3 linked regions of the Cricetulus griseus genome follow. The protein of the gene in region 1 interacts with the protein of each later gene in a biochemical or structural test. Links are inferred from orthologs where the notes say so. Each region holds a gene or a part of one and is shown in the gene's direction. Other genes may lie near its edges.

Region 1 (10,372 bases):
TCCCGAGTGCTGGGATTAAAGGCCACACCCAGCTTTCTATTCTCTGGGTCTCTCTACTGGTCACTGTCTATGTTCTGTTATTATAGCCTTAATTGAATCATCTCTGTTTTGCCCTCTTATCTTGATTCTATTGATGGTTTACTCAATAAGTTATTATTAAGTATGTTTTTTTGTTTTGTTTTTTTGAGACAGGGTTTCTCTGTGTGGTCATGGCTGTCCTGGAACTCACAGCGATCTGTCTGCCTCTGCCACCCAAGTACTGGGATTAAAGGCATGAGTCACCACTGCCCATCATAAAATATGTTTTGTTTTTTTTTCTACCAGCTCCATTCTTCCTTCTTTTTTCTTTCTTTTTTTTCAAGACAGGGTTTCTCTGTGTAACCTTGGCTATCCTGGAACTCACTCTGTAGACCAGGATGGCATCAGACTCACAGAGATCCACCTGCCTTTGCTTCCCAAATCCAGGTATTAAAAGCATGTGCCACCACCACTACCAGGCTCCAGCTCCATCATTCAGGTATTTTTCTTCTACTTATCTTAGTATTTTTTGGGCTGTAGCTTTTCCACAAATGTTTGGTGACCTATAATCCTAGATACTTGGGTAAGACAGAGTCTCAAATTTGAGGCCAGTCTGGGCTACATTGGAAGACCTTGCCTATAAACAAACAAACAAATAAATGGGCCTGGAGAAATGGGTTGTTGTTCTTTCAGTAGACCAGTGTTCAATTTCCAACCCCTACATGGCAGCTTATAACCATCTATGACTCCAGTTACAGGGTATCCAACTCCCTGTAACTAACTGGTCTAGAAGAGCTAGTTCCAGGACAGCCTCCAAAGCCATGAGAAACCCTGTCTGGAAAAACCAAAAAAAATAAAATAAAAAATTCAAAATTGGGCATGGTGGTACATATAATAATAAACATCACATCTTTTTCTTTGTTTTTGTTTTCTTTGAGCTGGGGTCAGTGTCTGACCTAGTACTCTAGTAGTCTGTGCCAGCTCCACCTCCAAATAGTAGGTTTATAAGTATGTGCCTTTACACCGGCTACTGCATCTTAAATCATCACTAATAAGTATTAATTGCTCATTAACTAACAATATTTTACCAGCTAATAATTGGCAAAGAACATCACTCACCTGATTTAGATTCTCTTTCCTTGTTTCTGCATTCAGGTGGGCTTTCAAGGTTCGTAACAACTTGTCTGCCTGTAGAAAAGAACAGCTCATCATTACATTCAAAGTCAAACAGGTAGGAAAACTATGTCAGACACCTCTTTTCCTCTGTTTATTGAAGGTGCTCTGGTTGGGCTGACAGATTAGAACACAATTAAATTTCACACCCCAGGGGCAAAATCAGGTGAAGAAAAAAAGACATAAAATGGGTATATGACAAAGTTTTATGTTGTGGGCTCCATAGGACCAATGTCAGCAGCAGGTGATGGGATGCCCCAGCTTTAAGATGGCTGTCCTGGCTGAGGCTGCTGACACTGTGAGAATGGAGAAGACAGTGTCAAACAGAGAGGACAAGATGGAGAAAAATAAGGGAAAGAAAACAACAGGACAGATGAGGACTAAGTTTAGCATGGCTGGAACACTGACCCAATGGAGAAGAGGGTGAGAAAAAAGTTGGAAAGGTAAGCCAGGAGGTGGCGCACACCTTTAATACTAGCACTTGGGAGGCAGAAGCAGTTGGATCTCTGTAAGTTCCAGGCCAGCCTGGTCTACTGAGCTAGTTCCAGGACAGCCAGGGTTAATACACAGAAAAACCCTGTGTGTGTGTGTGTGTGTGTGTGTGTGTGTGTGTGTGTGTGTGTGTGTGTCAGGGGGTTGAAAGCAGTTAGGATCCTAATTTTGCTAGCTAGGCCTGCCCTGTAGGCTTCTTGAGTGTAAAACTTCGTCCTTGTAGCAAAGAACAGTCTTTGAAGAGTTAGCTTCAGGACAGCAGATGACCAACTCTATGCTTAGGAAATCAAAACTGTGGCCTGGACTGTAGAGATGGATGAAAACCTACAAAGGAAGTAAGTCAGCAGAAATATCAAGTTGACTAGGGAATCTGTTTTGGGCCAGAGTTTCTCTTGTGGGCGGTGGTATCCTGTAGTGAGGGTCTTACAAGTCCTTGGGAAAGAGGGAAGTCCTGGACTCACTTTCCATTCTAGGACAGTTTCCCTATTCTTTTTCTTGAAGATAAATACTGATCTGTCTAGCTTTCCTTTTTTTTTTATTTTTAAGATTTTATTTATTCTGTATACAGTCTTCTGTCTGCATGTGCTCTGTAGGCCAGTAGAGGGCACCAGACCTCATTCAAGGTGGATGTGAGACAAATGTGGTTGCCAGGAATTGGACTCAGGACCTCAGGAAGAACAGCCAGTGTTCTTAACCTCTGAGCCATCTCTCCAGCTCCCATGGCTTTTCTTTCTTAAAAGGTCAAATGTAGTCAGGTACAGCAATTCCCTGAGATTTCTAGGCGAACCTGGGCTACAGAATGAGACCCTATTTCAAAACAATCAAACATCAAGTATATTTATTAGGTTCTTTTTTCCCTATTACACTGAGGTATACAGTTGAGGGTCAAACACTTTTTACTTTTTTGTTTTGTTTTGTTTTTTTCGAGACAGGGTTTCTCTGTGTAGCTTTGGAGCCTATCCTGGCAGTCACTCTGGAGACCAGGCTGGCCTCAAAATCACAGAGATCCACTTGCCTCTGTCTCCCAAGTGCTGGGATTCAAGGCGTGCACCACCAACGCCCAGCCCAAACACTTTTCTCTCAGAGTTTGAAGCCAGTCTGATCTACCTAGTGAGAGAATGAGGAGTAAGTGAACACTCCTCCATTGCTGGTGAGAGTGCAAACTTGTACGACCAGTTTGGAAATCAGTATGGCAGTTTCTCAGGAAAATGGGAATCAGTCTACCTCAAGATCCAGCAATTCCTCTCTCGGGCATATACCCAAAGAATGTACATTCATACAACAAGGAATATGTTCAACTATGTTCATAGCAGCATTGTTTGTAATAGCCAGAACCTGAAAGCAAACTAGATGCCCTCAACTGAAGAATGGATAGAGAAAATGTGGTACATTTACACAATGGAGTACTACTCAGCAGAAAAAACAAACAATGGAATCTTGAAATGGATGGAACTAGAAGAAACCATCCTGAGTGAGGTAACCCAGTCACAAAAAGACATAGTATGTACTCACTCATATATGAATTTTAGACATAGAACAAAGAATTACCAGCCTACAATCCTCATCAACAAAGGAACTAGGAAACACGAAGGACTCTAAGAGAGGAATGCATGGACCCCAGAGCAGGGGAAGGGGACAGTATCTCCTGAGCTAATTTGGAGCATGAGGGTAGGGGAGAGGGAGCTGGGAAAATGAGAGGGGGAGAAGAGGAGGCGAGAGGAGGAAATGGGGGAGCAGGAAGGTTGAGTCGGGGGAAGAATAGAAGAGAGCAGAATGAGAGATACCATAACAGAGGGAGCCATTATAGGTTCAAGGAGAGATCTGGCACTAGGGAGATTCCCAGAGATCTACAAGGATGACACCAACTGACAATCTAGGCAATGGTGGAGAGGCTATCCTAAATGTCCTTCCCCTATAATGAGATGGATGACTGCCTTATATGCCATCCTAGAGCCCTCATTCAGTGGCTGATGGAAGCACATGGACCCCAGACTGGTGTCTAGGAGGCCAGCACGGGACTGATCCATAACCCTGAACATGGATGTCAATGAGGAGGCCTTGGCACTCTATGGGGCCCCTAGTAGTGAATCAGTAAGAAGGGACTTTGGGAGCCCATCCCACATGGAGGAATGCTCTCTCAGCCTGGACACATGGGGGAGGGCCTAGGCCCTGCCCAGGATGATATGACAGACTTTGGGGAACCCCCATGGAGGGCCTTACCCTCCCTGGGGAGCAGAGGGGGATGAGGTGGGGGCTGGGGGAAGGGGAGAGGGGATTGATATGTGAAGCAGCCTTGTTTCCAATTTGAACTAATAAAAAAATAATCTCTTGGGGAAAAAAAGAAAAGCAAACAAAAAATCCACAAGATAGCAAATACCTGAGGGCCTAAGCTTTACTCATTAAAGTTGTGTAACTCAGAAACATTTCCAAGTACTCTTCATTGCCATTCAGACAGATTCGAGGAGCATCTATGGTCTCATTATTCTGTTTATATCACTTAAAAATATTTGTGATGACTGAATAGACATTTAGTGTAAATATCAGCTTGCTGTACAAATCTACGGGGTACACATGTGGGAAATCTCAACTCCAACATAGCAAGCCCCAGTCTCACAATGAATGACGTTTTCTCTGAACACCTTGCAAAAGTCCTAACCGGTTTTGAAAAAGAACACCATCACTATAGCGATCATACTATATCCCCATGGCTTGGCATCCAAATAAAGGCCCAAGAAGATTGTAGGTACTACTATCACAGTTTACTTAAAAGTAGTAATTTGGGAAATTTCCAGGAGCCAATTCAACTTTTTCTAATAACAGGCATTAGACATTACATTGATTATGTCTTATGGGTCTGTGTTTCCTTCTGGCAGCAGGAAACTATCATTAGAGTTTCTAGTAAGAGGCCTTTATGAGTTCCTGCCTCCAAATAAAATAACAGATATATCTTCTCTTTCGTTTAACAGATTCCAGCCAACGTGAGCCGAACCTACTCACCCAAAACCAGAGTCCCCCGGGGGTTCCCTCTCTGTCCCTTCGCCCCGTGACCCCCACACCCCTGGTCTCTTCTACCCCGCCGACCCAACTGCCCGCACCACCAGCCAGCACCGTACCCTCAGGTTAGCCCGGAGGCCCAGCCGTTTGGCTAAATTTTGCAGGTCGCTGTACTTGAAAGAGTCCAACTCCTCTGCAGAGGGGACGGTCATCGCGTTCTACAATCCCGGCGACACCCAGAAAAACAACCAGGCGACTCAAACAGCAGCGTTCAAAACTGGCGCCACCCAAGGCGTTGACAAGCCGACTTTTATATTCATTTTAAATGGAGGCTGCTGCACGTCCATTGGTTGAACGCCTCGGGGGTGGGGTTTTCCGATGCTGGCCAATAGAGCTGCTGAAGCGCGCAATAGCGCAAGCCTAACCAATGAATACGCGGCGCTCGACGGCTTGTGGGCGTGCCTTACGGGCATGTTGTCCAACGAGGATGCAGGAAACTTCGTTTCGGTGGAACCTGGCGCGAGCGTACAAAAAGAGGCGCCGGCTTCAGAATGATGGCTCGCTCGCGGCGCCTCCTCCCGTCCCCCGAGTCGCCGTGCTGCAGTGACTCTTGTGACACGCCTTCTGCTGCTACCTCCATGGAGTGGGACACTCAGGTGGTGTCAGGGTCTTCCCCTCTAGGTCCTCCGGAGACTGAGGTGGAGACGTCACCGGTCGACCTGCGGCTGCCTGCGTGGCTGGAACCGGAGAGGTGCGCCGTGTTCCACTGCGCGCATTGCCACGCGGTGCTCGCCGACACCGTGCATCTCGCCTGGGACCTGTCGAGGTCCCTCGGGACCGTGGCCTTCTCCAGTGAGTGAGGCGAGGGTTGGCGTCTGAGAAAGGGTAATCCCGACCTGTGGGATCGTAAACGAGCTGGGTGAGGGAGGCGTGGTTTTGTTTTCCGGAGCTGGGAATCAAACTTTGGACCGACCTCGCGTGAGCTAAGCTTGCGCTTTTGGATGAGCCCCACGCGTTTTGTTGACTTTTATGACCAGGATGAATCTGGTGGGCGGTTTTCCTATTCAAAACCCTTTTGTCTTTCAGGAGTCACGAACAATGTCGTTTTATTAGAGCCCTGTCTCGTTGGCATTGAAGGTTCTCTCAAATGCAGGTACGTGCGGAGAATTCCTGAGAAGGATCTATAGTTCCTTATTTAATGACACCGAGGACTATGTAGTTGTCGTAAACAAGAAAAAAAACTTTATTTTTGTTGTGACAAAAGTTTATTCTCTCCATACAATATATTTGGATGGTACATTTTTTATGCGTTTGAAACATGTCAACAAGGCATTAATGAAAGAAAAATTAGAGTTGGGTGTAGGTTTTAACATCTGAGGACTAAAACATCCTGTGAGATAACTAGGACTATTTAAATTTTAATTTAACTTGGAGTTTATATTACAAACCATAACAGAACTAATTCTGTAATAATCTCTGAAACTGGGGAAACACAATTGAATGTTTGGTGTTTCAGTACTACTAGTAATTTGCCTCTTCCCATATTTTCCCCATAGCAATAAAGTACTCAGCAAATTTGTGCTTATGAGGCCAAAACTAAGTTGTAACCATACCTCTATTCCACTTTGCCAAACTGAAAGACACATTCCTATTCTTATAGGAGTCCTTTCTCACCTGGTGGTTTATGCCTTTAATCTCAGTGCTTGGCAGGTGGTGTGTGTGTGTGTGTGTGTGTGTGTGTGTGTGTGTGTGTGTGTGTGTGTGTGTGTGTAGAGAGAGACAGGTGGATCTCTGTGAGTTCCAGGCCAGGCTGGTCTACACAGTGAGTTCCAGGACAGCCAGAGCTGTTACAACAGAGAAACTCTGTCTTGAAAAACCATAAATAAACAGTGTGTGTGTGTGTGTGTGTGTGTGTGTGTGTGTGTGTGTGTAAGTATGGTTGGGGGTCTTGGGGCTTGGCATATATATTGAGGTTCAAAGGCAACTTGAAGGAGTCTTTCTTTTCACCATGCTGGTCCCAAGAATTAATCTCAGTTCCTCAGGCTTGGCAACAAGTGCCTTTACCCCTTGAGTCATCTCACTGCTCCTGAAGTGACATTTTTAATATGTTTAGCTATGTAAAATATCTTAATTTCACAAAAAATAATGATTTTGCCTTGACTTTACAGTTCTACCTCTCCCTCCCAAGTGCTGGGTTCTCATATATGGAAACCTACACCAAATCTCTTTTTAAAAGCCTGGTAAGCCAGGTGGTGGTGGCACACACCTTTAATCCCAGTACTCGGGAAGCAGAGGCTGGTCTACAGAGTGAGTTCCAGGACAGCCTTCAAAGCTACAGAGAAACCCTGTCTCAAAAAAACAAATAAATAAGGCTGGGCATTGGTGTCGAACGCCTTTAATCCCAGCACTCGGGAGGCAGAGGCAGGTGGATCTGAGTTTGAGACCAGCCTGGTCTACAAGAGCTAGTTCGAGGACAGGCTCCAAAGCCATAGAGAAACCCTGTCTCAGAAAAAAACAAAAAACAAAACAAACAAACAAAAAAGAGTAGGGGAAAATATTCCACTTCACTGCCTGTTGCTATTATGACTTGTTGTCTTCCAGATTGATGGAATATTACAATGAATAGAAATTAAAATCTAGGGGCTGGAGTGATGGCTCAGTAGTTAAGAACACTGACTGTTCTTCCTGAGGTCCAGAGTTCAATTCCCGGCAACCACATAGTGGCTCACAAGCACCTTAAATGAGATCTGGTACCTTCTGCTGGCGAGCAAGCAGAAGACTGTATACATAATAAATAAAATCTTAAAAAAAAAATTAAAATCTAATTGACCTTGTTCTATATAATGAAATGGAGATACAATTTGTTTACATATTAGAAGTAAATGCCTTAAGTCCTCCAGTGTTCATGATCCAGGGCCCAACAAGCTATATTATGTTAACTCTATAGCATGGAGCAGAAAAACCCCAAACATCTTAAGGACAGTAGTAATTTTCTTTATAAGGTAGGGCGCCATGGACTGTACAAGTGATCGGAGGCAGTACAGAAATTAATTTTTGTCATAAATTATGACCTTTGTTTTTTTTTTTTTTTTAAGATTTTATTTATTATGTGTACAGTGTTCTGCCTGCATGTATCCCTGGAGGCCAGAGGAGGGCACCAGATCTCATTACAGATGGTTGTGAGCCATCATGTGGGTTCTGGGAATTGAACTCAGGACCTCTGGAAGAGCAGACAGTGCTCTTAACCTCTGAGCCTCTCTCCAGCCCATTGTTTTTGTTTTTTTGAGACAAGAGTCTGCTGTATCCCAGCTGTCTTTGGAAGCCTGTGAATTTGAACTTGAGATCCTCCTGCCTGGGCTTCTGAGTGGCAGGATAACAGACACTGCCATCAGAAGGCGGTGATTTTTATTTCTGTTCTGGGTTTTCCTGATGTTATATTCTGCTTCTTTCCATTCCCACCAGCACATACAATCTACTCTTCTGTAATTCCTGTGGGGTTCCTGTTGGTTTCCATCTGTATTCCACCCATGCTGCTCTGGCTGCCTTGAGAGGTCACTTCTGCCTTTCCTGTGATAAAATGGTGTGGTGAGTAGACAGAGATATTATTTATCAAATCAGGTTTTTAAACTTTTCTAGAAAAGTCAAGGTGTTTATAACCAAAGAAAATGCAAAAGGCCAGGCACTGTTTATTATACACATACCTTAAATAAAGACAAAATATAATCTTGTGATAAATATCATGATTACTTTAGATGTTTTATTGTACCATGTCTTAATAGTCACATAGAGTAATTTAAGGGTATTCTTTCATTAAGGGTTATTCTGGAAGGTATGCTTCTGTAAAATAGTCTTGTACAAGATTACTTGGTTTACTGCTGTGTCTCATACCCTTCTCATATATAGGATTTGGCCCACGTGGTACCCAACCTCAAGGAAATGTATATTTATACCTGACCCACTAAGCCAATCAAATTTTCTACCCTAGGAATTTGAAATGAGGGCTGTATTGGTTACTTGTGTAGTGACTGGACAACACACCTGACAAAATTGACCTTAAGGAAGGGAGGGCTTATTGTGGCTCATAGTCTGAGGGTGCAGTCCATCATGGTGGGAAGCCATGGAGGAGGTGGCTGGTTTTATTGTGTCAGCAGTCAGGAAGCAGAGATTAATGCTAATCCTCAGGTTGCTTTCTCTCTCCAATGATCTAGTTTTATTTTTGTGTACGTTTGTGTTTTGCATGTATGTATATGTAAGGGTATAACTGGAGTTACAGGCAGTTGTGGGCTGCCATATGGTTGCCGGGAATTGAACCCAGGTCCTCTGGAAGAGAAGCTAATGCTCTTAACCATGCTGGGCCATCTCTCCAGCCCTTACTTTTTCATTTTTATTTTTAGTCCTGTACTCTTGCCCATGGATTGGTGTTATTCACATCTAGATTAAGCTAATCTAGATCGTTCCTCATAGAGGCTTGTCTCCTATGTCATCCCAGATCTGTCAGTTGATAATATTAAACGCAGCGACCTACAGTCATTTTTAGGTGATACTGGTGCTGAACTTGGAAAGTGAATGCACTACTCTTGGAGTAAGTATTTTCTGCACTTTACTCCAGATACAGAAAAAATCTTACCTGATGAAAAAGATTAATGAAATGAAGAATATAGTATTGACTATGATCTCATTTACTACTTTTCCCATAGATTCATTGGATACTTCATCATCTTCCTAGCTAATAAAACATTTGACTTAAGGTGTTTTATTACAAGAAACTGAAAGGGCTGGAGAAATGGCTCGGTAGTTAAAATTACAGCTCGATCATAGTACCCAGTTTGGATTCCAGCACCCAGCTTCCATTGTCTCCCAAGAGATGGGATGCCCAGCCTTTAGTGAATTTTTTTTACACATGGTAGTTATTAATTTGATTCTGGATTCATTTTCAGTTTTCCTGAGATAATTTTGTCTCTGAGAATGGGAAAGTTTTTGGTTTTAACTGAGAATTTGTTTTTCCAATAAAAAATACCATGATCCTTGGAGCCATTAAGGCAGGCTTTGATGGTACTTCTTGGAAATGATATTAATACTTTATATATTTTCTCTCTAGCTATCTCTTAAAAACAAAGGAAATAGTAAGTGCATCTGAGATGGATATTCACAATGTGCCTCTACCAGAAAAGATTGCAGAGGTAAACTTGGTTGTGTAGTTACTTAATATGCAAAACCTTTTTCTTTTTCTTTTTCTTTTTGGAGATAGGATTTTACTTTGTAACTTTGACTGGCCTCATATTAACTGTGTAGATCAGCCTGTTCTAGAACTGAGCTATATCCTTTTCCTTAATATAGGCAATTTTTAAGTGTATGTGTGTGTGTTGTGCATGGTTGTTTTGTTTTGTTTTTTTTAAAGATTTATTATTTTTAAACTGGTGACATTATAACCTGCAAACTGAGGGTTGAGAGAGTATAAGAAATCTTTAATCGGTCTCTTCCCAGCTGAAAGAGAAGATAATGCTAATGCACGCTCGATTAAATTCACTGATAAAGATTCTGAAGGACGTGACTCCTGACCATTCTAACCAAGAAAACTGAAGAAACAAGGTAGTACAGAAGTCCCTCCCAGCTGCAACAACAGGACCAATTGGTCATCTCATCCTTCCTTCCTTTCTTCCTTCCTACTTTCCTTCCTTCCTCCCTTCCTTCCTTT
Region 2 (10,275 bases), on another chromosome or scaffold:
CGCTGGGAAGGTGAGGCGAAGCTAAGGTGGTGCCAGAGACTGTGGCAGATGAAAGATTGGATTCTGGATTGGATCTTGGAAAAGGAGACAAGGTTGTTAGAGGAAAGCCAAGCGTTGGTGGCGCACACCTTTAATCCCAGCACTCGGGAGGCAGAGGCAGGCAGATCTCTGTGAGTTTGAGACCAGCCTGGTCTACAAGAGCTAGTTCCAGGACAGCCTCCAAAGCCACAGAGAAACCCTGTCTCAAAAAACCAAACCAAAACAAAACAAAAATCTGAGGAAGTCCAGAAAAATTTACATTTGATTAACGAATAGCATTTACCAATGTTAATATCTTGATTTTAATGAAGCTGGAAACTCTTGGTTCCATTTAGAACCATTCTGTAAAGAATATAATTTAAAAACCATTTTTGTGTGTGTGTGTGACTGGGAATAAATTGATACCTGAGCAGCCACTTGTGTTTGGAAAACAGCTCCACTGGTAAAGTGTTGCTTGCCTCACAAACACAAGGGGCCTGAGTTCAACCCCTAGAGCCCATGTACATTGAGTGTTGCTGGGTTTTTGTTTGTTTGTTTTGTTGTTTTTATAAACATGGGTTATGAGGATCAAACTCGGTTCCTCATTCTTGTATGGCAAGCATTTTACTGACTGAGCCATTTTCCCAGTCCCAAGAAATGACTCTTCATGAGTTCCATTCATCTCTGAGATAACAATGCAAACTCATACTAACAAATGTCTCCAAGACCTTGACTGCTAGCGTTGTTTCTTTCCGGTTAAAATCATAACCAAGATATGGATGGTGACGCTATTCTTTCTAGGTGTTTCTTTGGGGGAAGGGAGCAGCTTTTCTAGAAGGGGAGGGCTATGCTCAATAGTTAACAGTCCAGGCTCTCATAAATCTCTGACAGTCATCTCAACTGTTGCTCATGACCCCCGTGGACCTCAACCTTTTCATCGTTAGAACAAGATGCATTAGTGAAGACATGTGGGTTTCTCAGCTCTGCTGTATTATGTATGGGTTTACTGAAAACCCCATCCTCTCCCTACTTGTTTTAACTTTCTCGAGAACCAAGGATCGGTTAAGGACTGGAAAATTGTGATTCCACTCATCAAATAGAAGAGAGAAGAAACACTATTTAAAGAACATCCTGCCGAGCCGGGCAGTGGTGGTGTGCATGCCTTTAGTTCCGGTACTTGGGAGGCAGAGGCAGGCAGATCTTTGTGATTTGGAGGCCAGTCTGGTCTATAGAGCGAGTTCCAGGACAGCCAGGGTTATTACACAGAGATACTCTGTCTCGAAAAACAAACAAACAAGCATGTTTTGAACTCAGTTTCTTGATTTCTAGTTGTCCAGAGTAGAAGATGGGGCCACACAGTGGTGAGATACATTCCTGAGTTCCATCTGGAACATAGATATAAATATCACTCCATGCCCTGGTCCGGCTTACCCTACGGTGAGTTGTATCACCTAAGAAGAGCTCTTTATGGTGACAGAAGGTCCTTGGGGGCTGAGAGCACAATGTGCCATTCTCGTGGTGCCACTGATCAGAGAAGACAGCCTTGGGTACCATTTGGATCCTCTCCTCCCACCCACATCTAAACGGTCTTTGAATGCGGCTGCAATCAAACCTGCCTGGTAGAGAAGTCAGCCACCCGCCTCTGGGGACCTGCAATCACATCGTATTGTCATTCTGGTGTGCAAGTGTTAGGAAGTGCATGCAATTAAAATCTGTCTGTGATTGTAATCAGCAGTTATTAATTCTCATTTCCCTCAGCTGCCAGTGCACTTGTGAGCATCCGCAATCAGGGCGGCGAGGTGACTCAGAGGTTAAAGGTACTCAGCAGTCCAAGCCCCAGGAAGAAAAGAAGGGACTCCAGGTTGTCCTCTGACCTCCAGCATTTGCATGCCCCCCTTAAATAAATGTAAAGAAAATCAATCCACAATTCTCCCAGCAAAATGGTCAAGGGCTCAGCCATTAATTTCGTCTTTTTTCTCTTTCTGAGCTCTCTTTCCTTCCCTTCCCCTCCCACCCCATCAAGTTCAGCAAAACACGGGTTCTACAGTGTTTGGCAATGACTGCTATTTCCTGCCTCCACCAGGGATCTTGGAACTCTGAAGGATAATTCCTAGAAAGAGGCAGAGACCACCAAGGCCAATAGAGGGACCAGAACTTCAATGACTTTGGGAATGCTGTCAAGTTCAGAGCCCAGTTATTTGGGGTTATCTTTAGTCCCCTTACATGGTCACCTACTGCCCTCCTGTGTGAGGCCACATCCTTGAGACTTACATAAACACTTGCTTTGATATATACAAACAGATCCCTAGCCTCCAACCCAAATGCTAAGAATACGACCAGACCGCGTTGGAGGTCTACAGCAGAGGGCTCCCATGGCCTTGCTGTAACCTGCCTTCCTGGTATACCTGCCAGCATATTTGAAAAGGTGGTTGGTTTGTGGCATTCTCTGTTCCATTACCTCAATGTTAAGTCTCAGAAAGTGCATATATCCCGAAATAACAGGTCTTGACCCACCCCAAGCCGGACCACAGAAGGATTCCTGGCAGTTAAATAAAAGCCAGATTCCTCAGGAACTTGTGAAACAGGTTCCAGAAGTAGTCATCCCCCTGCGTCTCTGGCAGAAGGGACGTATGTGTCTGTGGTGGCATATCAAAGCCTGTGCTGGCCTCCAGGTTCCTCCGGTCCCTGTTCACCGCCACACATTTCAAGCCCCCAACTCCAGCATCCTGGCCCTTCTCACCGCCTCCTCTACCCCAAAGTCCCAGGTCTCCTCCCCCAGATACCCACGGGTTCTCTATGTAATGGCACCCCCACACCCTGCACTGCCCTCCATCTCAGCATCTGCACCGTTCTCTTTTGTTATTCTCCCCTTTCTTGCAGATACCCCAGGGCCAGGGCCAGTCTGCAGCTTTCTCTCTCTGCTCTGAACTTTTCCAGATGCCTCCAGATACTTTCTTATCTACAATAAAAACCTTCCTCTTTAATTGACAAAAGGGCCGTTTTGGCGGTTTCTTTACTGTGCCCCATTCACACACAATTAAAACCTCATAAAACTGATGCCACATTGGAATGTGAGATCTGTGTTCTTGGGCATGGCCACTTAGATTTGGCTCCATAATAAACTCTGCCTTAGCCACTTTGAGGTGAGAGCTATGCTTCTTGCAACAAGATGCAATCGCCTAGGATGAAGGCCTGCGATACTGGGTACCCTACTGTAGCATTTTAAGTATTGACCATGGGATCCCAAAGTCTGGTGGACAATTGCCCACTCAATTCCAAAGATGCTACCTGTGGGTAGATAACTCATGTGGGTTGTATTGTTGTGCCCAAGTTGCAAAGATCCCCCAGAGACCACCAGGAAGACAGATAGACCCACCAAACTGCAAAAGCAAGGCTTTATTAATCCAACCACGACAGGGACCCCGTCTGGCTAGCTGATGCAGCAGCCTCCAGAGGAAGTGAAATTCCCTGTCTACTGCTAGGTTTTCAAGACAAAAGCTACAGGATTACATCCTGTTTTTGGCCCTAGGCTCCGGGAGGCCAGAGGATCTGGAGTTTCCTTGTGTCAGAAGCCTAAGTGTCTTTTCTGTAGCCTGTCATGGCTGCTAAAGCAGGGGGCTGAGTGAGGGTCTGGTCCCTTCATTCCTAGAAGTGAAGCCTTTGAGATTAGTTTTCCCCTTTCAGAACTGCTCACGTGACACAGATAGTGTGGGGGAAGCCGGGCATTCTACAAAAGCAGTAGAAAAAAGGACAACTCCCTGGGAGGAAAAATCCTAAATGATTTGAAGCACTTTCTCCAAGCATGCTATCCTCACACATTCTCCTTTGTTTGTCCTCATTAATAGTTCAGAGGATTACTGATCATTTAGTACGAAGAATCTGCAAGGTAGGCCTGTAATCCTAGCACGCGGGAGACGGAAGCAGGAGACTCACTGTGGGGTAGGCTACACAGTAGATTCCAGGGCAGCCAGAACAGGACAACCGCCTCAGTAAAACAAACAAACAAAATAAAATCAAAACCATACTCAGAGAAGCCAAAATAGTTTCCCGGACTGCTAACCACCTCGTGGAGCGCCTAGGTCAACCTGAAGACTTTGGATTCGAAACCTTTTGCTAGTGGCGAGAGGCACTAAAGTAGGACGCAATTTGTTTTGTTTGTCTGCTTGTGTTTTTCAAGACAGGGTGTCTCTGTGTAGACCGGGCTGTCCCGGAACTAGCTCTGCTGGGATTAAAGGCGTGCACCGCCCCCGCCCAGCTACCCCAGCACGGGCGTGTGCACTGGTGCTCAGGGTGGGGAAGGGCCAGGCGAGCCACTGCTCCTGAGACCCTCAACATCCTCGACGGTGGCGTGGCGGAGCAGCAGAGACGCTCGCACACGCCCGCCCGCCGCCCGCTGACACTCCCGCTCGGCCTCCCAGCCTAGAGCGACCGGAGGACGCAGGCGCGGTGAGCCCAGCCCGCCCAGCCGGACGCCGAGCATGCGCATTAGCAGCTGCCGGGCCCTCAGGCCCCTCCCCTCGGGCGGAGCCGGGCCTCTGGGTCCTCGCGCGTGCGCAGCGGCGCTCTTCCCGTGGGTCCCCGGAGCGCGGCAGATTCGTGCTGGCCGGCGGCTTCCTGTGCTCTCCCGGGCTGGCCTGCCCTCCTCGCTGCTGGGAAAGCGGCTCTCGGAAGACTCGAGCCGCCGCCCGCTGCTGCTTCGGACGTGGGCGAGCATGTCGGGCGCGGAGGCCGGGGCGGGGCGGTGCGAGCAGAAGGCGGCCCCGGCCGGGGAGAACCCGCTGGTGTTCCTGTGCGCGCGCTGTCGCCGGCCGCTGGGCGACTCTCTGACCTGGGTGACCAGCCAGGAGGACAACAACTGCATCCTCTTGCGCTGTCAGTCCGGGCGGCCCCTGGGGCGAGCCTCCGGCACGAGGGCCCCGGTTCCCGGGGAGCGGACGGGAGGAGGGTGGCTCCCGAGTGACCACGGGTCTCCTTCTGGGGTCTGCCATCCCCCAAAGGGCATTGCCAAGCATCCTCATGGGCATTATTCGGATGTAGCAAGCGTTTTCGCTGGCTGCTTCCTTCAGGGGAGTGTCAGGATTTCTCAGATCGCAGGGGCTCCCTTAGCCCATGGCCCTTACAGCTCCATCCATCTGCTTGCAAATGTCAAGATGTCACTGCGGATACCACTGAGTGGTACTCCATTGTGTAAATGTACCAGGTTTTCCTTATCCACTCTTCGGTTGAGGGGCATCTAGGTTGCCTCCACGTTCAGGCTGTTCAGATAGTGCTGCTATGAACACGGTTGAGCAAATGTCCTTGTGGTGTGACTGTGCTTCCTTTGGGTATATGCCCAAGGGTGGGATTGCTGGATCTTGAGGTAGACTGATTCCCAATTTTCTGAGGAGCCACCATACTGATTTCTGCCTTGCTTTCTTTATGTAGTAATACTGTTGTTAGGTTTTAAAATATAACTGGGATAAACCGGTTATAGATGTGTTTATTTACCCCACATTAATAATAATCCTTTCTTTGTAGGAGCCGAAGTTTCCCTCAGGGATTTACTGGAATCACCCCTTTAACAATTGCAGGAGGGTGTAAAAGTGTTTTTTAAAAGATTAATTTTTAGGTTGGGCGATTGTGGCCCATGCCTTAGATCTCAGCACTCGGGAGGCAGAGGCGGATCTCAGTGAGTTCCAAGCCAGCCTGGTCTACAAATCGAGTTCCAGGTCAGCCAGAGCTGCTATACAGAGAAACCCTGCCTCCAAAAATAAAAAATAAAAAAAGATTAAGTTTTAGATTAAATTCTGTTAGTTAATATTAATTAACTTTCAGATTAATTTCATCTTGCCCCAGTTGGAATGTTTTACTTAGCTTTATTCACATTTACGACCACACTAATAAAGCGATGCCGCTCTCTTCCAGGTGTCTCCTCGAATGTGTCTGTGGATAAAGAACAGAAGCTGTCCAAGTGCAAAGATGAAGACGGGTGGTAAGTAAGGTATTTTTTGTGATATTATGTCAGGGAAAACGTTTAGTTTTAAGAAGTCTTCCACCATTGTGTGAGATTGCTTGTGACATAACTTTCCATGGTAATTGAACACATATAAAAAGTAAAAATCCATTGCACAGTGGGGATAGCCCTTTAGATGGGAGAGTGGAAGTTTCTAGGTTTCTGAAGGTATAGCTAACCCTGGTCTTAGGGTTTTGGGTTTGATGCTGAAGAAAAGGGAAAGTAAATGCAGAGCATGTCTATTTTAAAGTCTCAAAGCCTGAGGGGCCGTGTCAGTGTGAGCGCTGCCTGTCTCTGCCATGTCCTGACACAGATAGGAAATACTAACACAGGGCCCATCCACAGCCGACTGGGTACACGCAGCCATGTGTGGCCATAAACAACCAGTCTCAGTCACAGACACAGCAGTCCTGGGTGTGTGTGTGTCTCTTCTGGTCTTCTCCCTCTTCTTATAAAGCCACCAGGATTTAGTCATGGGCTCCACCATGATGACTTGTCCAGTCTTAGTTGCCTTCAGGAGACCCTGGTTCTGAAGGCTGTGCACTGTCTCAGTTCAGCAGCTCAGGGGAAGACAGACCACATCCAAACGATACCAAGATGTCAGAGGGCTCACATGACCTCCTGTATGGTGTCGTGGTTGATTTGAAAATTCAGATTATCCACTTATCGGTATATCCTAGGAGTTCAAATCTCAGGTTTTTTTCTAAATCCTTTTTCTCGATTAACAATCTTGATAATGTGTTGTAGCCTCCTAATTATTATGCAGCTTGTACACATAGCTACTATATATATATATAGATTTACCTGTTCACTGTTGGTAGTGTAGGTGGGGTTTTCAACTTGGGATCTACTAAGATGGTTTTTTTTTTCTTTAAAAGTTTATTATTTCATGTATGTGAGTATTTTGCCTGCCTATGCCTATGTGCACCACATGTGTGCCTGGTGCCCACAAAAGTCAGAAGAGGGTGTCAGAACCCCTGGAACTGGAGTTCTGCATGGTTATGAGCTACTATGTGGGTGCTGGAAACCAAACCTGGTTCTCTTGAAGAGTAACTGGTGTCCTTAACCACTGTGCTCTCCAGCCTCTAAGATGCTTTTATATTTCTTTTTTAAAAAAAGATTTTATTGTCTTTTTTTTTTTTTTTCCCGAGACAGGGTTTCTCTGTGTAGCTTTGGAGCCTATCCTGGCACTCGCTCTGGGGACCAGGCTGGCCTCGAACTCACAGAGATCCGCCTGTCTCTGCCTTCCGGTCCTGGGATTAAAGGTGTGGGCCACCACGCCTGGCCTTGGCTGGGCTTGTGTTGTGTGGCTGTGTTGAGGGGAGCAGATTATTGGGTTCTGTGTGTCTGACTTTGCTATGTGTACATGGTGCTTACACCAGACCCCTGGTGGCCTGAAAGCCTGAATACTCACTCTCTGTTTCATTACAGGGAAACTGCCTGCCTTCCTACCTAGAGCGTTGATGACCCTGGGTGATTGGTTGGACATTGTAAAGGATGTGCTGACTCTTTTAGATAGTTTTTCTAATACCAGATCAAGGACTGTATATTCTGGAAAACCCTGCCTTGGCATTTTGTTTATGTTTCTTGTCATCTGTTGCAAGAAGTAGTGTGGCTCAGAGCTGACCACATTTCTCCTGCAGTCATCTTATCGTGTACACACACACACACACACACACACACACAGACACACACACACGCACACACACACAGACACACACACACACACAGACACACACACACTCACACATACACTCACACACAGACACACAGACACACGCGCACACACAGACATACACACACACACACACACACACACACACACACACACGCACACACACACTCACACACACACACACACACACACTGTATGTATGCATGTATATATATGACTCCATACAGTCAGGATAAAGCTGGCTGTAGAGGTGCATGCTTGTCACCCCAGCATTTGGGGGAGGATGACGACTGTCAAAAGTTTGAAGTTGGGGTGGGCTACATAGTGAGACCCTGTCTCCAGCAACAGCAACAACAAACCCAGAAACAACAAGAAGAAACCACAAAAGGAAAACAATAGGAAGATAGTTATTTTTCACCTGAAGCAACTCGGGGCTAATGGAGTTTAGTTTGATTTTTATTTGTTTCAGAGGGTGTGTGTGTGTGTGTATGTGTGTGTGTGTGTCTGTCTTGTCTGTGTGTGTGTGTGTGTGTGTGTGTGTCTGTGTGTGTGTGTGTTGTGTGTGTGTGTGTGTGTGTGTGTGTGTGTGTGTGTGTGTGTGTGTCTGTGGAGGTCAGGGGACAACTCTCCTTTCACACATGGTCCTGGGGATGGATTCAGGCCTTCTCACTTGCCAGCAAGCACCTATACCCGCTGAGCCGCCTTGCCAGCCTCAGCTTGTGGACTTAGCAATCCTGCTCATTGCTACTCTTCCCCTAAGTGGTGTTGTGTCTTTATTGCAGCATTCTTGAGACTCTGTCCTGTACAGGCTGCTCCCTCAGCCTTGGCTATGTGTACAAATGCACTCCCAAGAACCTAGACTACAAGAGGGACTTGTTCTGCCTCAGTGTCGAAGCCATTGAAAGGTAGGTTTTTTGGATAAGTGGCTGCCTCATGACTGATTTCTCACAGTTAGGTTTGCAGAGATTGGCATGAGAACAGCCATGCTAAAGCAACACTGTTGGGTCCAAATATGTTTTTGAATAATAATTTCTGACAGTAAAGCCAGTGAGTCACCCTTTGTGTCTAATTCACTTGGTATTGGGAAAGTCAGACACTTAAGTTACAGGAGAAAATGTGAGACTTTTTTTAAAAGGAGAAAGCGATTGAGTTGTTTTTTTATTTTTTGTTTTTTGATTCTGGGTATTTGAGACAAGGTTTCCCTGTGTAGCCCTGGCTCTCCTGGAACTCTCTGTAGACCAGGCTGGTCTCAAACTCAGAGATCCGCCTGCCCCTGCCCCCGAGTGCTGGGCTTACAGGTGTGCGCCACAACAAGTTTCAGTGCATGCTCTTAGCTGGTGCTTCTGCCTCCCGGAGGCTGCGGTCATGTGTGCAAGTGTGCCTAGCAAGATGTTTCTAAGCAATTGTGTGGACCAGCATGTACTGTCCACACTTCCGTTATCAACCTCTCAGAACAGTGCTTCCCAACCTTCCTAATGCTGGGACCCTTTAACACAGGTCAGTGGTGAATTGTAACAGTATCTGATCTGCAACCCCTGTGAAAGGGTCTCTCAACCTCCAGAGGGGTCAGGACCCACAGGTTGAGAACAGCGGCCTCAGCTGATCATGAGGCAGGGCTGGGGTGGTAGCTCCGTGCGCTATGTACAAAGCCCTGGGCTCAGAGCCCAGCGCCGTGAACTCAGTGTGGTGGTGTACACTGCAGTCTCGCACTTGGCAGGTGAGGCAGGAGGATTGGGACTTGAAGCTAGGTAGAGAGCTGGCCTTGGGAGCCATGAGACTTAGAATCCCCTCTGACTCCCCAAAAGAATGTCACAAAGAATTGGCATTTCAAATTGGTTAAGAAAGCAGTCCCTTTGGTATTCTAGTAAATTTAGTTATTTACTATAATAAACAATTGTCTGGTTTTTTTGTTTTTGTTTTGTTTTCTGTTCTTTCAAAAATGCAAGGAAATGTCTGTATTCTACAGGATTTCTAAAAAGCATTAGTAACCAATGTGAATTGGGTGTCACAGGCCCCTAATTTCAGATCACCTTTAATTTTAGTAGTGCTTTGAAAATTTCATATTCATATATACAGTGTATTGATTATATTCGTATCATATAATGTATTGATCATATTCATATACAATGTATTGATCATATTCATACTCACCCCCTCACCCCAACTTCTCCCAGCGCCATCACCCCACCTGCTCCCTCTAGAACTTCCAGGCCTCTTTTTTTTTAATCTAAATAATCTCTCAAGTCCAATTTGTTGCCTCTATGCTCCTGTGTGTGGCTGTCCACTGGGGCACAGTCCACTGCCAGGGCTACACCCTTAAAGAAACTGACTCCCTCTTAGAAGCCGCCAGCCATCACAGCTTCTTTGATCATTTGGAAAAGCCCAGTGGAAACCTGCTGTTTTATTATACATGTATAATATATGTATAATAAATACATATCTGATGCTTATTGGAATTACCCTACACTGGGGATTAGCTCATCCCAGAAGCCCTGGGTGGCCAAATAAAAAAAAAGTGCTAGATTCAGGAAACCTTACCCTCAGGACAATCGCAGATGCCTTAATGATCTTCCAACCGATTGGCCTTTTA
Region 3 (10,287 bases), on another chromosome or scaffold:
GAATGTTCAAGGATAACATAAAATCACTTGCGTGGAAATTTTATATGATTATTTCAAGTGAGAGTGATCTGTTTTGTCATTATATCATTTTTATCCCCAGAGGCAGATACAGAGAGTAGATCCGTAATATAACTGCTTAGAGTTTGTGCCTGGCAGACCACACTCACGTGTAACAATTCACCTCTTAAGAGTGAGTCCAGTGTGTCACAGGGAACACTATGCAGATAGAGATAAGAATCGTGAAGGAAATTTCATCTCTCATTCCAAAAATGGTGTCAAATATGTCAAGTCACCCCCCCCTTTAGCTTTGGGACACTAAAACAACAAATCTTGCTGTTTTCGTTTTCATTCAAAGGATGGGATGCCATGTCTCTGTTCTGTTAGCCTTGTGTTCAATGTAAAGAACAAACAAATGAGGCCAGTTTCCCCAGCTTTAGGAATCAAAATCATGTTGCCCCTTGACCTCAATGCAAGGGAAATGCAGAAAGTTGACATTCCCAGAGAATATTCACACTTAAAGGAGCTGAGGCCCAAACTCCATCTCCATCAGTTATTCAGGACCTTGGACAGGTTTCACCACCCGACATTCTCAACCCCCAGACATAGATTCCAGCCTGTAAGATATGGATCATAACAGTGTCCACCTCACTCCCCAATCCTCTCTGGAACCTAGATTTCTCCTACTTATTCTCCCTGCCTGGCAGCCCTACCTATCCTGCCTGGCTATTGGCCATCCAGCTCTTCATTAGACCAAGCAGGTGCTTGGGGCAGGCAAATTAACACAGCTTTACAGAGTGAAACAAATGCAACATAAAAGAATGCAACACATCTTTGCATCATTAAATAAATGTTCCTCAGCATAAACAAATGTAACAGTCTTAAACTAAAATTCCACAACAGAACTGTCTCCCCAAAACTGTCCTCTGACCTCCACATATAAGCCAGAGACAGAGAGAGAGAGACAGCCACCAGTAAGCAGCATTCCTCAGTGGTTTCTACTTGAGATTCTGTCCTGACTTCCCTCAGTGACAGACTGCTACTTGAAATTGTTAAGTTGAAAAGAATCCTTTCTTCCCAAGTTGCTGTCAGTCAGAGTGGCTTATCGCATCAACAGGAATGCAACTAGAACACCCCAGTGAGCCATGGGAGGAGGAAAGAACTGCATTGGGCCGCTAGACCAGGAAAAGAGGCCAGAGGGCAAACTTAGAACATTCCTACAATAGACAGTTTTGAGCGGTTAAAAAAAAAAGGAAAAAATGTATAAACTACAGAATGAGACCCGATCTTTAGAAAATCAGAAAGGGGGAAGCATGTTTAGCAATTTATCAATTAACCCTGAGACTCCTATTTTAAAACTATTCACACATAATACCACAAGGGCTGATCTTTGCATGCTCCAGAGAAAGATGTCCTGAGAATTTTCAGATCCATAAATAATGGGGCTGATTAAAAATAGGTCACTCAAATCAATCTAATTGTGTTCTATTTTTGATGTAAATTCTTCCATTGATTTTTAAAATGTGTAGCCCATTAAAACACATTAATTGTGACCCTAAGAATGCATTTGTGTTACAGAAAACCCAAGGTGAAGAAGAAAAAAATTTCCCACCACTTGAAGGTAGAGCAGAAATATCACCAAAGCCTTAGCCCTATTTTTTCAGGGAAAAAAACACTTCTGGGTAAGACTGGAGAGGTGAGGTGCCATGATGATAAAACATGGCTCAGTTGCATGGAGACAGGTTTAGGATGTCTGGAGCCTTATGTGTCTCACTGGGATAAAAATATTCTAATTTTGTATAACCAGAGGAAAAACAAGTGATTGTTTGTCTGTGTTCTTTTATTCCATGAATAACACAGCCTCACATTGCATAACAGGCACCCATTCTGGAAAATGTGGCCAGAGAAAGCTAATATTAAAAATATTCAATAAGCCAAACAGTTTGTAACAAAAAAATATTCTATTATGCCATCATTGGTCTGAATATATCATGGAGATTTTCCTAAATGCACACTCAAGTTGTGAAAACATACACATTTTTCAAAGATTTATTATATTTAATTATGTGTAGGCAGGCATCTACACATGAGTGTGGGTACATGTTGGGGTCAGAAAATCCTCTGGAACTGGAGTTACTGGTGTTTGTGAGCAGCCTGACAAAGGCACCAGGAACTGAACGTGGTTCCTCTGCAAGAGGTGCACACAGTCTTAACTGCTGAGCCATCTCTCCAGACCCATCCAGACATTTGAAAAGTACAGGCATATAATGTATATGTTTAGAACTTACGGTTAAGACTTAAATGCCATATTCACTTTAGATACCATTAAAACTTAATGGAACAGGCCAGGCGTTGGTGGCACACGCCTTTAATCCCAGCACTTGGGAGGCAGAGGCAGGCGAATCTCTGTGAGTTCGAGGCCAGCCTGGTCCTGTCTCGAAAAAAAAACAAAAACAAACAAACAAATAAACCAAAACAGAACAAAAACTTAATGGAACATAGATGGTATGCAACTAAGTTACCCAGCACCCTCAGAGTATTGAACATGTGGTTAGTGCTTCATAAATATCCCTAGGCTAAACCCCTGTCAACATTTTTAATTGCTTAGATTTCAAAATGTGGCTTCATGACATCAAAGCACAAACATGTTTTTTTAAAGATTTATTTATTATGTATACAGTGTTCTGCCAGCATGTATGCCTGTATATACTTAATATTTAACCTTCACGACCAGATTTCACATCACTATATTTGAAAACTCCTTCAATAATTAGCAAAATATGGCTTGTAAATAGCATCAAATATTTTAAAACTATTTTTATTAATAAAATATAGCAGATCCTTGAATTGTATATATCTTCACTAATATAAAAACATTTAGGACAAAAGTATCTGTTCTGTTTCATTTATGTAATTTCTTTACTTGATTTTCCTCAAAATTATCTGTGATAAATACCTAGCAAAAACAGCAAGTTAAGGAAGGAAAGATTTATATTAGCTTTCAGTTCAGAGAAATTCAGCTCACGGCGACGGGGAAGACACGGAGGCACTGGGGGGCCGAATGCTGTGTCTGGTTGACCCCCTTTGCACTCAAACAGCACAGCCTTCGCATCCCCCCATGGGCCAGGGTCACGCTGGCAGTTTGGATGGTGCAGCCCCCATCAGTAAACAACGCCAAGAGAGTCAGACAACTGAGGGCCCTAAGCTAAGCATCTTGAAAGCGACTTGATAGCCTCTCTCTGTGCCTGCAGCAAATACATTGTGCGGACATCCACAGCCCATGCGCCTGCCAGAGCCTCTTCCCTCTGCAGCTTCAACAGGACAGCGTGGGAAGATTATGGTGCAGGTCCTCAGTAATGATTCCGTTATCACCCACTTTGAGATACTCACACCAACACAAGCACACAAATGCAACTGTTATGAAGACAGAGTAAAACCATCCTAAACTAGGGTTCAATCCCCCAACCCCACAAGAAGACAAAATCCAAAAAAACTTATGTGAAACATTTCTAAAATGTCAACCAAAGTAAATGCCCTCATAAAATGGACACCTAATTACCAGTCCTCTCAAGAAACAGTATATAATCAGAAATTGGAAAGGGAGTTGATCAAAACCCTAGGATAAAAACCATAGATTTTGTCACATTCATAGTATCTGTCAGCACCTTTAAACGTGCCTTTTGTTGGAATTTATGAACCCTGGCTTTCCTGACTCCTTTCGGGACAGTTATTTGGCGCTGTCTTTCTCTCAGCCCTTCCAAGCTGGCGACCCAAAAGGATGGGGACAGGGACCGCCTCCGGGACCCCGCGGGGACACGCAGGCAATTCGTCCAGGCGCCTCTAGAGGGCGCGGGAGTGCCTCATGGGGACGCAATGCGCATGTTCCACCCTCTCCGGCTGCCCTCCCTCCTTCGTTTCCGCCGGAAGCGCTCCCTGGGAGAGGCGACCGGAAGCACAGGCAGGATCGGTTGCGTAAATACGTTTGAAAGGCCCTATCAGCGCGACGGGCGGCCCGTTTGATCTGTGCGCCGGCTTGGACTGTGCGGATTCCAGGCTGTGAGCGGCCTGCGCCATGGATCCTAAAGACCAGCCGGATAACAGGCTGCTGCGGCATCTCCAGGAAAGCCGGAACCGTTTCCAGACGTTCATGCATCGGCTGATAGCGAAGGTGGGCTGGGCTGGGCTGGCCGAGGCGGGCAGCGGGCAGCGGGCGCGGGCAGCGGGCAGCGGCAGCGGCAGCGGGCGGGCGGGCGGGGATCCAGCGCCGAGGATCTGATCAGCAGCTCTCTTTCCCCGCAGTACAACCAGCCCTTTGAGGACGACCCTTTGGTGCAGATGTCCACGCTGACCTACGAGACGCCCCAGGGTACGGAACCTTCCTCCTCTTGGCAGTGTGCTAGAATGGTGGGGTCTAGAATTTGCAACGCGGCACTTGTTCCCCTCACTTTGCAACCGTGAGTTGCTGAGTTCCAAGTCATTTCTCTAAAAGCAATGCCCGGAGACACAGATGCAGCCTGAGTTTTTAAACGCCCGGCGCGGAAGCCCGAGCTAATTGCTTAAAGGCAGCACAGTGTCTCCGTAAAGTAAAAAGGACGTTGACAACCATGGGTACCGGAGTGCCTGCAAAGCCATTGGAACTGCTCGGCTCTCACGAGTTGTGCTGTGTAACTCGGACCCATCTGTTGTAGACAGTCCATCAGTCTGCCTCTCCGGAGCCATTTTATTAAATGTTGTGGACTGCCTTAAACCTTTGTTTTGTTTTGTTTTGTTTTTTCGAGACAGGGTTTCTCTGTGTAGCGTTGGAGCCTATCCTGGCACTCGCTCTGGAGACCAGGCTGGCCTCGAACTCACAGAGATGCGCCTGCCTCTGTCTCCCGAGTGCTGGGATTAAAGGCGTGTGCCGCCAACGCCTGGCACCTCTTGCTTGGATTCTTTAACTGGGGTGTGTTTGCATTTGATGAGGTTAGTTCCTTCCATAAGACTCATCATTTAGTAATAAAATCTGATTTCACATCACAGTCTGCCAAGAGTCTATAGAACCCACTCTTTGACAAGTGCAGTCTTTGCCCTTTGTCTTTTTGACTGTTCAAGGCACATGTTCAGTGAAAGTTTTACACAGAAACAGAAATAATACTGCAGCAGGTTGTTTTTTTGCTCTGGGTGGGATCTGGATACAGTAATACAGGGGTCTTTGAGGGTGCTGTCTGTCTGTAGGCTTCTCTGTGTTCTTGTGACTGTTCATGCAGGGGTGGGCAGCGTCTGGAATGTTTTGGACAGTCTATCTATCTTGAATAACACTCATTTTGTCCATGAAAACCTGATGTCAGTTATATGAGAACAACAGTGAAGTATCTGAAGAGTTTGAGACCATCCCGTGTTGGCATATAAAGGGCCCTCCCTGAGAACTGGCCAGCACATGGACTCCTAGGGCTGCAATTGTTAATAACTCTGCATCCTAGCAAGCTCGTAGCTTGTATTCATGCCATGAGTCCCAACGTCCCATTACTTAATCTGAGAGAGTCTTTGGCATGGCCTTTCCAAAGATGCTCCTGACCCTCCCTGTGCAATAGCATGAACCCCCATCAAAGACAGTGATTGTGGCAGCAGCAGCAGCAGGAATAGATTCATTTGCCTGTGTTGATGGTTCACCTGTGCCTGCACTTGTGAAGTTGTGAAGTCCAGTTTCAACCCTGCAGTAGAAGCCCCTTTTAAAAACCATTGCTGTCAAAGGTAGATTCCCACAGAGAGGGCCACTCAGCCAGGGCAGCAAAGCCTCAGTTTGACTCATGAACCCATATACTCAAGCATCGCTGTCTTCTGGAAAGACTGTGTTGTACAGTGATCAAGTGCAGTCAGCACCTCCCAGAAGTCACGTGCTGGCTCCTCTACATGAGTGGAGAGCCTGGGCTAGTCGTCTGAACTTCCTTTTCCTTTGCGTGTCTGTCCACAGCAAACATGCTAAGTCTCTGTTCCCCGTGGGCTTCTGGGTGGGTGTAGGAGTTACATGCAGATGGGTTGTGGGTACTAAATGGTGTCTCCTTGGTAAAAATCTGGAGCATAGAGAGTGCTGTGTAAATTTTTTTATGCTTCTGTTATAATACAGTCATCTCATACCTCAAAACCCACCATTCTTTCTTAGTAACTTTAGAAGGAGTATATTGCACAGGTTCTGCTAGCTAGTGAGTGACAGGGACGGTGCACTTGAACTCCAGAGTTCTCTGTATGCAGGCTTCTCTGTATTAGGCCAGTAGATTGCCCTAGGAAAGCCAAGGATGGGGTACAAAAAATGCCCTGTAAAAACCCTTGTTCTAAGCCAGGCAGTGGTGGTGCACGCCTTTAATCCCAGCACTGGGGAAGGCAGAGGCAGATTTATCTTTTTGAGTTCAAGGCCAGCCTTGTCTACAGAGTGAGTTTCAGAACAGCTAAGGCTAGACAGAAACCCTTGTCTCAGGGAGGGGGTGGGGAATGCTTGCTCTGTAAATGTATGGTATATGTGCCCCCTCTCCAGTCAATATGCATGTAGTATGTATTTAGAATATGAACTGTCCTTAGCGCTTCAGGTTAGTGCTGAAATCAGGTAAGCTGCTGCCTTCTGGGTAGGAGAGAATTGTCATTAATGATAGGTTTGTCCAACACTGCCAAAACCTGGATTGTTTTTAGTGTACAGCCTTTTGTGCCATCCAGCTTGGTTTTCTGTCAGTGCAACTGAGCATTTTGGATTCCTTCAATTGTCATCTTCATTTTTTTTTAAGGATTGAGAGTTTGGGGAGGAAAGTTGATAAAGGAAAAAAGCAAGGAACAAACTCAGGTAATTATCGTCAAGTTTACCTTTAATGCTTTACTGTAGTGTTGACTAAATCCCTGTGTGAGTGAGCCCTGAGGCCACTGCTGAGAGCTTCGAGAGACCCACCTCAGGTATTTCTTCTGTTGCCTGGCTCTTGTGTGCTAAATTTTCTCCATCGTAGTTCACAGGGCCCTCAGAACCGTCTCATGTGTGCCGATGCTGGACCAGATTGGGGACCTGCAGACTGTGTACTAGACCAGCTAGAGACTCCTTTGTTGGGGCCTTACAAAAAAAGACCAAATCTCATTTCTTTTGATAAAAACAATGGCCCTTTCATCCTCTGAAACCAGGAAGCAGAAGGATGAAGAGGCGAGAGTGCAGAATCACACACCCTTCTGCAGGGTTTCCCTGCACCAGGGCTCTACAGCTAGTGATTGAATACTGGTTTCCTGGATGGCATCAATAGTTTGCCTTCCTGCTGTGAGACTGTGTGGTTTTTTGCCCTGGTAATGACTATAAGACTGTCTGGTCTAAATGAATCTCGGGCAACCATGGTTCCTGGGGAAACCTTTTACCCACAATGGAACATCAAGATTAAGGTTACACAGCATTAATAGAAATTCTGAAACTGAGCTTCCTTGGTTGATTATTATAGCCATAGGAAGGCTAGAACACTTGGGTTAGCTGACTGCTGTGCATGTAATCACTGATACCATTTTAGTTCCTGTCTGTAAATGCACCTCATACACCTTTCTAGTTCATCAATAATGGGATCCTTGTCTTCACCAGCTGTTGTATAATCTGATTGCCTTTTTGTTTTTTGAGACACAGACTCACACTGTAGTTCAAACTAACATGGAACTTGCTGTGTAGCCCAGGCTGGCCTCAGACTGACATCAGTCCTCCTTTGGCCTCCTGGAATGCTAGGATTACAGCCATGTTCCATAGTTGTCTTTTTTTTTTCTTTTTCTTTTTTTTTTTTTTTTTTTTTTCTTTTAACTGCTGATCAGTTCCAAGGCATTTGGCCCTTGTACCTTCCTGTTCTGAATCAGGATCAGCATGCTCTGTCTGCAAAGATGTTGTAAGTGCTTCAGGATGTGCCAGCCATGTGTTTGTTATTGTTGTTCAGCTCTGTTATGAGAGAACCACCAGGGGGCGAAAGTGAACACATCTGTGGCTTGGCTTATTAAGCCTGCTACATGGTCCTCAAGGAGCAGCCTGCCCTACCCTCTGTGTCACCTTCACTCAGGGCCAGAGGACACATGACAGCCAGTGCTAGAATGGTAATTCTGGTAGCAAAAAAATTATTTATTTGAGGTGTTTGTTTAAAATGTAGGAGACCCTCTGCCTGAGGTCTGTAAAACTGCTGGAGCTTTTCTTAGGACTAGAAAAGTGGACATGCATAGCCTGTATTTACAACTGAGGACTTCTACAGTGTTGCTGGGGTTTATTATTGGTGATCTCCGCCCATGACCAAGTGTTTATGCTGATTCCAAGATTGCCCTCCTGAGGATGGTGGGAGACAGGAAGTTAAGATGGACTCCCCATTGCCCTGCACTGGTTTGTTTGGCATGGGCCCTCTTTGTAGGTGCCAGACAAACAGTAGTGGGTACTGAGGACCAGCTGCTTCCATGAATGTCAGAAGTTCTGCCCTTCAGACACTGGAAGCCATAAAATTTAAGCTGAAAACTTTGAGGTTTTAGCTTGCAGTGATGTCCCTGGAGGCAGGAGTCACTTAGTTTGGTGGTGATTGGCCACCTCAGGTTCCCTGGGCCCATCTGAAATCATGTAAGCAGCTTTCTGTTGAGTGCTGGCACTTACTAATAAGCACTTGTTGGCGCCTTCCTAGTGGAGCCTGGTGAACACAGGCCTTAGAGAGTGGAAGTGTCCTCCCCAGAGGAGTGACCCTTTGACTATACTCAGTGGCTCCACCCAGCAGGAACTGCAGCAGCCCCAGACACTACAATACTTGTAGATCCCAGGTCAGCCCTTTGGGTTCCTGACTTCTGCTGTAGCCTCTCCTTGACCAGTGGAATTTTCTACCATCTTCTGGAAGTCTTGAGGCCCTTCATTAAGCACATACAGGAAGATAATTGCAAAGCCGTTATTCCCCTGGTGTGTCCCACTAGGATTGTGAATGTGTTGATACACAGTGGCTAGAGATATGTTGTGACTTGATTAAGCTTGTATTTCTTGATTTTTATACCCCAAGGACTCTTCTATGAGGATGATTACCAGATTAAACAGGCAAGCTCCAGACAGCAGTGAGCATTTACAGCCCTGCATACAAGTCCCGGGAGATGGTAAGTGTTACCTTGTTAGAAAGGGAGGCTAGGGACGAGGCCAGCTTGTCTCCACTACAGCAGTTTACAGTGAGGTATCTCACTGTTAATGTTTTATGTATATTTCTTGTTCTCCTAGGTCTCTGGAAGATGGGGATCCATGTCGTGCCCACTAGTGTCAGCATTTAGCAGGTCTTAGGATTTGTCCCTAAGGATGATGGGAGCACCTGCTTCTATAGAAATGACCTCTTCCTTTCCCGCCTCTGCAGCCAGTATCTGTCTTTCCTTCCTCAGCTTCCTTCCCTTCCACAAGGCTTCCAGGCTGTGCTCTTCCTGTCTCCCCAGCTCCCTCCATTCAATCCCTTTGCAGCCAAATCACAGAAAAATACCCCCACTCCCTAGACATTCTGGCTGAAGCCTATCTTTAGAACTTTAGTCTGGAGCCCAGTGTGCTGACACACATCTTTAATCCAAGCACTTGCAAGGCAAAGGCAGGTGGAATCCTTGTAAGTTCGAGGCCAGCTAGATCTACACAGGGAGTTCCTGGCCAGCCAAGGCTACACAGTGAGTCCCTGTTGGGGAAGAGTGGAGCAAGCCTTTTTTTTTTTTTCTTTTTTTCTTTCTTTTTTTTCTTTCCCCAGGTGAGAGCAGGGAGAAGGTGGTCATGCTGCTTGCCAGGGTTCCTTGTTTACTGGGGATCCTAGCTCCACAAACCACTTAGATCCATCCCTCACCCCCACCCCCCAACTGCTTTAAGCCACTGAAAATGGTTTAAGTGGTGCCTTAGATGTTGGGGCCATGAGCATCCTGTTGGTGTTTTAGTGAATTATTTGTTAAAAAGATCTGTCCCTCGGCCTGATTAGCCACATTTATTGGTCCAGTGGCCCAGCCCCTGGCTGTGGGGCAGCAGATTGGAACTCCCATTATCCCGGGAGTTCAATTTGATGGGCAAGTCGTAGTGTATCAGATCTGAGGTCACTGAATTGGAGAATCTGCTGTTCCTGTTGTCCATTTGGATGTCTTTCTGGTCACAGGCACTAGACTACTGGCAATCATGGGCACAAGAGGAACATTTCCTTAAGATTTAATTTATTTAAATTATGTGAATGAGGCATCAGATTTTCCTGGAGCTGGGGTGGTTGTGAGATGCCCAACATGAGTGCTGTGAACTGAGCTCAGGTTCTCTGGAAGAACAGTAAGCATTCTTCTTTCTTCTTGGTTCTG

What was found.
Region 2: the proteins of Oip5 (region 1) and Mis18a form a complex in vitro, tested with the Homo sapiens proteins (3 studies listed by BioGRID). The link is inferred for Cricetulus griseus from reciprocal best matches to the Homo sapiens genes OIP5 and MIS18A.
Region 3: the proteins of Oip5 (region 1) and Hjurp form a complex in vitro, tested with the Homo sapiens proteins (2 studies listed by BioGRID). The link is inferred for Cricetulus griseus from reciprocal best matches to the Homo sapiens genes OIP5 and HJURP.

The regions. Positions count from the first base shown.
Region 1 is NC_048599.1:58,862,874-58,873,245, forward strand, and holds the start of Oip5 (protein Mis18-beta), read left to right. Parts: upstream 1-5,145; 5' UTR 5,146-5,228; coding exon 5,229-5,529; intron 5,530-5,763; coding exon 5,764-5,830; intron 5,831-8,139; coding exon 8,140-8,262; intron 8,263-9,775; coding exon 9,776-9,857; intron 9,858-10,161; coding exon 10,162-10,257; 3' UTR 10,258-10,266; intron 10,267-10,372. Other genes in the region: Nusap1 (nucleolar and spindle-associated protein 1), read right to left, coding at 1,138-1,206, 4,797-4,889. UniProt on the Homo sapiens protein: Required for recruitment of CENPA to centromeres and normal chromosome segregation during mitosis.
Region 2 is NC_048597.1:7,009,985-7,020,259, forward strand, and holds the start of Mis18a (protein Mis18-alpha), read left to right. Parts: upstream 1-4,496; coding exon 4,497-4,890; intron 4,891-5,922; coding exon 5,923-5,989; intron 5,990-8,467; coding exon 8,468-8,590; intron 8,591-10,275. UniProt on the Homo sapiens protein: Required for recruitment of CENPA to centromeres and normal chromosome segregation during mitosis.
Region 3 is NC_048595.1:439,833,088-439,843,374, reverse strand, and holds the start of Hjurp (Holliday junction recognition protein), read left to right. Parts: upstream 1-3,949; 5' UTR 3,950-4,069; coding exon 4,070-4,165; intron 4,166-4,296; coding exon 4,297-4,363; intron 4,364-6,749; coding exon 6,750-6,805; intron 6,806-8,993; coding exon 8,994-9,084; intron 9,085-9,230; exon of another isoform or gene 9,231-9,255; intron 9,256-10,287. UniProt on the Homo sapiens protein: Centromeric protein that plays a central role in the incorporation and maintenance of histone H3-like variant CENPA at centromeres.